Linked DNA regions of Xenopus tropicalis. The protein of the gene in region 2 purifies or fractionates together with the protein of the main gene of each other region. This does not show direct contact. Links are inferred from orthologs where the notes say so. Each region holds a gene or a part of one and is shown on either strand. Other genes may lie near its edges.

Region 1 (3,753 bases), on a different chromosome or scaffold from region 2:
CAAGCCAATAAGTCTAATGGCTGTGTATGGCCACCATAAAGCTTTAGGTTAAAAATTTTGAAAGGCAGTGAGCAAGGTTTGAGCACATTTTAGAGTACAATGTGCATCATTTTAAAGTTCAAAGATAAATTCAAACATTTGGTCACGTATAATATATATGCCAGCATACATTACAGTATTAAAATTGGTGGCACGACAGGAGTGACATTACTAAAGATGCAGCAACAGTTACAAAAGAATTGGTTATCAATATCACAAAACTGGAAATGTGCACTTGTCTGCACTACAATTTAAGAAGAGCTACAAATAATGGCTACTAGAGTAAATCAGGCCAGCAGATTGTCTAGCAGCACCACAGAATTTCCAAGGCAGTTTTCACTCAGAGCTTATTTCTATGATAGTCACTGAATTCCAAATCAACTGGAACAAGTTCAAGTATGCCAGGCATCTCAGTGCAGCAAGGTGGGTGCACTCTGATTTGCCCCCATGTTGTGTGGTTGTAGGGAAGGAACCTCCAGCTTCCAGCATAGGTAGACTGCTGGGTTGTGCAGTAGCTGGAGGGGGTTCTCTCTGTTATAATAACTATCCCACCCATTGAGATAGAAAATCGATGCGTTTAATGTTAAGATCACCCGAACACATTGGATTTTGGCCTGAGCCTCATTGGACTCTTGAGAGGTTTATCCTCCTGCTCATAAGTGTCTCTAGAGGACAGGTTGTTATGGATTATCTGAGTCCTAAATCGGATTTTATTGAGTCTTGGCTTCCCCTTTACCCCAGACCCCTTCCTGTAGATATCTGTTCTGCTGCCTCCTGCGCCGGGCCCTTCCGGTTGCTCCTCCGGTAGCTGAGAGAGCCGGTGTACAATGAGCTGGGAGGGGAGCACCTTAGAGAGCCGCCAGCGGCCCGAGCCCGTATTCCCTCCTTCCTCCTCTTCTCCCCCTGCGCTGGGCAGAGCACCCACCAGCCCCTGTACATCATGGGTCGTGCTTGGGCCAAGGTACTGCCAGGCTTTCCTGCCACTGTAGTCCCTTATATCCACATCGGCATCGTATGCCCCTATGAGCAGCTTAATAACGTCCAGGTGTCCGTGCATGGCAGCCAAGTGCAGAGCCGTGTAACCCCCCGCAGCCCGGGCATTGATATTGACGGGCACACGGTGCTGGTGCGCATAGGAGAGGAGAGCAGCCAGGAGCTCATGCTGCCCGTGCTTGGCGGCCCAGTGCAGGCAGGAGAAGCCGGTGATGAAGTCCCTGCGGGTGATGAGGCCGGGCTCGTTGCTCAGTAGCTCCCGTAAGCTCTCCCAGCGGCCCCGGCACGAACTGAGCATCCAGGCGTGTTCCACAGGGTCCAGTGCCGCCTGCCCGTGTGCCGCGCCGCCCTCCTCCTCCTCGTTTCCCGACACCGAAGACGAGCTGTGAAGGGACGAGCTGTCCGAGTCTCGCATCCCGGCCCGAAGCAGCGGGGGGCCCCGGCGGAACTGGGGGGACACGGGATCCCGCACACCCCTGCGGCTGCCCCTTGGAGTCCTACCGCTGGGAAGGAAAACCTCCGGGGAGCCAGGGCACTGCTTTAGTGACCCGGGGACGCTCTTATTTCCCTCCTTCTCCTGCGGCTGCTGAGCGGCTCCCCCTGGGGCTTCGGTGACGGAGATGCTGGGAGGTGACGGCAAGTCCTTGCTTTCCCCCTCGGAGCTGTGCCCTGGGGACTCGCTGGCCGCCTCATGGTCACTAGCCGAGCTCTCTGATGAGGGCGCTCCCGTTCCGCTCTCTCGGTATTTTTTCCGCAGACAGACATATCTCACCCCGGCCTCTTCCTTCACGGTTGCCAATTCATTCACAATGTCCTTAAAGCGGCTGCGGACAGATTCCCGGGACTCCCCCGCTGGCGGCTCATTCAGCAGCTCCTTGAAGTGTCCCAGTAGATTCTGATTTGGTACCCGGCCGCCTTGCTCGCTTAGGAAGCGGATAACTGATTCCCGACTCAGCCCGGTCATGACTGAGCGGTTAAGGCGGCGAGCTTGGAACAAGGCATGTCAGCTCCTCCCAGCGGGTAGGCTCGGCGGGGGCGGGCAAGGCAAGTGCCCGTGGGAATTATAGAGACACAGCTACGGACCGAAAGTGCGGCGACGTGTAAGGTAAAGCTACTGTTCAAATCAAACCCCAACCTCCCCCGCATCGATGACTTACAAAATCTGTTCCCTTCTCTGGTACCCAACGTGGGCTGCACCACTTTCAGTAGATGGGGGCGATGCTGAAACTCTAAACCAATCATGTGCGTCCGAGCTCCCCGCCCAATACAGCGCCGAACCAGTCACGGACTTATCCCATCTGCCTGTGGCTTGTGTGAGATTGTTTGTACAGAGCAAGCTGAGTTGGGAAAGCTACAGGCGGTCGTGGGATGAATTATGCGATCTCTATCGCTCTTTTATCTTCGGCGCATGTTCAGCTGCAGATGAACTTGACCTGCGACCCTCAGTCATAGTTTGGCCTCTGCCTCGGGTCTGTTGTTATTAAAGTTGGCACAGAAAGGGAAAACGAAGAGAACTCAAGGGCATCCAGGGGAATTCCAACTCTGTTAACTACACGGCTAGCGGGAAGCTTTCCCATCAATCACTTTTAGTTAGGGTAACCTTAATTGCCCAGGGCATAGATGATTGGAAATCTTCACGGCCTACATCTTGTCATATACTACCTGTATATTATTATAGTTGAGTAAACATTTTTTAGTATTGTATCAAATGTGACCTAATTGGTTTTCTTTATTTTTATGTATTTCAAGTTATGTATGTATGTATGTATGTATAACTTTATTTATAAAGTGCCACAAGGGTACGCAGCACTGTACAATCTTACAGAATACAAAATTACACACAGGGAGGATGAGTGATATAATAAATAAATACATATATGTATATATATATATAAGTGCCATGTGGTATGAGACACAGTAGGAAGGAGGTCCCTGCCCCGTAGAGCTTACAATCTAAGTAAAGTTATTTGCCTTCTACATCTTTCCAGCTTTCAAGTGAGGGTGACTGACCCTGGAAGCCAAAAAACTATTTCTCTGTGAGCTTACAATTTCATTGTTTTTTGTTACTTTTTATCATTTATTTTCTTTTTCTAGTACAATCAAATACTGCCTGGTTGCTAAGGTAAACAGGCCCCTGGAAACCAGATAGCTGCTGAATTTCCAAATTGGAGAGCTGATAAACAAAAAGCTAAATGACTGAAAAATCACAAATAATAAAAAATGAGAACCAATTGCGAATTGTCTCAGAATATCATTGTCTACATCATACTACAAGTTAATTTTAAGTTGAACAGACCCTTTAACATAAATAACAGCAATTAAAGCCCCAAATGCACATGGCTTATATGTTCTGTTTCCTGAATTGTATCACTTTCCGAGTGCAAGTTGTTCAGGGACCTCAGGCTGATAAGCAGGCACTTTGAAGAATATACCTATCAGGTCACAATTCCAGCAAAGAAGCCTAATCATTCCAGGCATCAGTACTACTGGTATTGCACAGACCTAAACCTAACACCCATTTCACAGAAGGTCTGGGCCCCCTTGGCTCAAACATTTATAAATTCTTGGAAAAACTGGTGTAACAATACCACTGCCTTAGTTAAAGTAATGCTGCAATGGGAAAACATGTTTTTCTCAAAATACATCAGTTAATAGAGCTTCTCCAGCAGAATCCTTGAAATTTCACATGGGGCTAGCCATATTATTCATTTCCCAGGGCGC
Region 2 (3,753 bases):
AAAGAGAGAAACAGAATAAGCAACATGACACTTATCAACACTCTAATCTCAAGCGCTAATACTCTGTTGGGTGCCATTATCAATCATTATTCATATTTTGGGCTTGTAGTCGCTGCCTTCGTACTTACCCTCCAGACACGGAGGTAATCCCCGCTGGTGGCTAACAGATCTGGATATACTCCTTTAGTGTCGGGGATCCACATAAGCTTTGTTGTAGGATACGGGTGATCAAATGTGTTTCGGCAAATGAATTCAGAGCTCTCTTCATCCAGTCCTACTAGCTGTACCTAAAAAAAGAAAAAAAAAAAAGAAAGAAAAATCAATTCCTGAATGAAAGATTGGTTAATACAGTGAAATGGTACAAATTAAACCACTCACGTGCAGGACCTGAGCCACTCCTACTTCCTAGCATTACCATTCATACAGCAAACATTTCTGTACAGATATCACCTAAATTTGTGGGATCACCAAACTAGTGGGCTTTTGCTTGATGTGGCCACTCACATGCTTGGCTAAATTGGATTTATTTGATCGTTTGGCCAAACAATTGGACCTGTGGCAACCCATCGGGAGAGGGCCTTATCAACATAACTACACAGCCCTCGCATGACTTCACTTCCTAAAGTGATACTAACAGCAGCAAAAACGCCAAACCTGGAAGCTAGAGATATAAAAATGTTTTAAAACCTCAACAAAACATAAAATGAAGAGTTATCGCCACTTGTCTAAGAATGCAGCTGTCTTAACCATACCCTAAGTTGATAATTAGGTGAAATACACTTAATTTGCGTATTATAAAAGGCTTGGTGTTTATTAACTATGCAATATCCCCCCCCCCCCCCCCCCTACAATACAAAGGAGATAATTTATGTATATGGTATTAAGCTCCTAAAGTCACGGCTGCCAGCAGGGTGGGTACAAAGGTTATTGACCCAGGGGCCCAAGAGATTTGATTGTACAATTCGGGGGGTCAGAGCTTGTGGGTGAGAAGGTGGGTTGGTTGAATTGTGGGTGGGTTTACAGTATTAAGGTGGGACGCAACTGGAGCTGAATCTGGAATGTGCCAATAATCAGGGTGTGTTCATGTTTCCAGGGGCCCCATTTTACTTCTACCTGGAGGGGGGAGGTCCCTGCTATTTAAGGTGGCCACACACGTGACCCGCCACTAAAGGTGGCCATACACGTGGCGATCTGACGATGTTTCGTACGACCATCGGTCGCACGAAACATCGTAAGATCCGCCACACACCATTCAGGGCTGAATCGGCAGGTAAGGAGGTAGAAACAATAGGATTTCTACCTCCTTCTGCCGATTCAGCTCTGAAAGGAGAATTTTGGTCAGGCGCCTTCTATGGCGCCCGATCAAAATTTTCAAACTGGTCCGATCGGCGAGTCGTCCGATATCAGCAGCTTCCTGCGATATCGGTCGACTCGCCGACATGCCATACATGCACCGATTATCGTACGAAACGAGGTTTCGTACGATAATATCGGTGCGTGTATGGCCACCTTAACCGTTCAGGGCTGAAAAGGCAGATAAGGAGGTAGAAACAATAGGATTTCTACCTCCTTCTGCCGATTCAGCCCTGACGTCAGATTTTGCTCAGGCGCCTTCTATGGTGCCCGATCAAAATCTTTTGACCTGGCCGATCGGCGAGTCGACCGATATCAGGAGCCTCCTGCGATACCGGTCGACTCGCCGACTTGCCATACACACACCGAATATCGTACGAAACGAGGTTTCATACAATATTATCGGTGCGTGTATGGCCAGCTTTAGAGGTATGGGGCTCAGGGATTCCTCATTGCAGCCCTGTCTGAAGACAAATGCAGTTTATACAAGCGGAAGCTAACACTGGGCATACACTGATACAAACTACCAACACAGCCCCACCAGACCAAGTCTCGTGTATGGGCCCCACCAACACCTGGCATCTATTTGCCAAACATTTAGTCAGTCATCTATTGGGCACTCCAGAAAAAAAACCATCAGAAGGGGAGCACATTGGATAGATCTACATTTTCATAATCTAATCTTTGTTCCAGGGGCCACAGCGGCAGAGGTTGTCAGACATTTTTAGACCACTGCCCCCCTCCTTCACCAGAAATAATTTATCCCTAAGTCCTGATGTGATTGGCCTTTAAAACTTCATCTCTCAATTGGATTTGGGCCCCAGTTTAAAATCCTACTCTAAAGCAAAACACACAGTCTGTACATGAGTCAGGTCACTGTACACTTACATAGCAATGTATTTATAAGCAGATTGTGTGAGGGTTTTTAAATGACCCTTTAATAGATCTAAATGACAGTTTACTGCTGTAATCTTTATATAATATATATATTATATATATATATATATATATATATATATATATATATACATACACACACACACCAAGCAGATTGAATTCATGTTATATGTGTATCATCTGGATACAACCCACACAGCTGTAACACAGAACTATCCACATTCACTGAGCATTCTGGGAGATGTAGTGCAACTCTACCCAGTTGAAGGAGGGAAGGATAGTTAACCCTTTACACTAAGCGCATACTTCTAGGCACCTTATTGTTATATTCCTCAACAAAGCTCCCCAACGCCAAGCGGAACCTCTTGTCCGGCCTCACACTCCAGTTCATAGCATAGACGGTCCATGGCGCCTCGTACTTATAAATCTCCTTCCTTTTCCCGTGCAGGGACATGGCTGGAGCTGCTTTGCTAACACGGTTACCGGGACACGATCGCCGAAGCCTTTTAGAAGCAGATACGCAGGCGCTTGCTCTCGGCCGCCTCTTATTGGTGCCAAACTACAAGCCAACCAGAACGTCCCCAGAAACAAAACAACGCTCACAGTACAGCGCCGATGATTGGCTCTTTCCAACCCCTTCTCACGCTTTGATTTGTTACTGCTGCAAAAAGGGGAGGGCTTTTCTAACCGAAGAGCTGATTGGGTTATGCCGCTTGTCTAGACTTCATTTCCTGTATGTCTGGTTTCCTGCGCTTTCTGATTGGTGTATAGCAGTCAACATCCTGCAGTAGAGAGAGGCGTGGAACGCAAAGAGTCGCGGTTTATTTTACAGAAACATTCTATTGAACGTACTCCGGATTCTATATTTCAGGTAGTTATCACGTTTTTTTTCTTATACATTTTGGTTGCCTGTAAAAACCTTGGTTTTTGGTCTCTTTTCCTAGTTACAAAAAAACAAGTTCCAGACGACCCGTTGCATAGAAGTTTAGTGTATTTGTGCAGACCTTTATAGTGACTTACATGTATATACAGCTGTATATGTTTTTTTACAAGATTGTGACTACTATGGTTTTCCTGAGCAGGAGTCAGATATAAGTCGCTGTTCTCAATCTATAACTTTAGGCCCTGCAATCTGTCGTTTTTTCAGGATCCAAGTCTGATATCCGCGACATACGCTTGTGGAAGTGCGTCATGCCTCGAACAAAAGAGATTTCTGAACACCTCCGCCAAACTGTTATTGATGCTCACCAGGCTGGGAAAGGCTACAAAACTATTTCTAAAGAGTTGGAACTCCACCGCTCCACTGTCAGGCATATTGTGCACAAATGGAGGCAATTCCATACCGTTGTTTCCCGCCCCAGGAGTGGACGGCCAACAAAGATCACACCAAAAGCAAGACAAGTAATACTCCAGGAAATCGTAAAGGACCCAGGGCTAACATCTAAGGAACTAAAGGCCTCTCTTGCATTGGCCAATGTCAATGTTCATGACTCCACCATCAGG

What was found.
Region 1: the proteins of dcaf7 (region 2) and sowahc purify together in Homo sapiens (affinity purification with mass spectrometry; 4 studies listed by BioGRID and IntAct, counting the BioPlex papers as one, with this or other methods). This does not show direct contact. The link is inferred for Xenopus tropicalis from reciprocal best matches to the Homo sapiens genes DCAF7 and SOWAHC.

The regions. Positions count from the first base shown.
Region 1 is NC_030678.2:111,887,784-111,891,536, forward strand, and holds the start of sowahc (ankyrin repeat domain-containing protein SOWAHC), read right to left. Parts: upstream 2,512-3,753; 5' UTR 1,997-2,511; coding exon 629-1,996; 3' UTR 1-628.
Region 2 is NC_030686.2:16,437,483-16,441,235, forward strand, and holds the start of dcaf7 (DDB1- and CUL4-associated factor 7), read right to left. Parts: upstream 2,778-3,753; 5' UTR 2,705-2,777; coding exon 2,567-2,704; intron 288-2,566; coding exon 129-287; intron 1-128. Other genes in the region: uncharacterized protein LOC116407961, read left to right, coding at 3,442-3,753. UniProt on the Homo sapiens protein: Involved in craniofacial development. Acts upstream of the EDN1 pathway and is required for formation of the upper jaw equivalent, the palatoquadrate. The activity required for EDN1 pathway function differs between the first and second arches.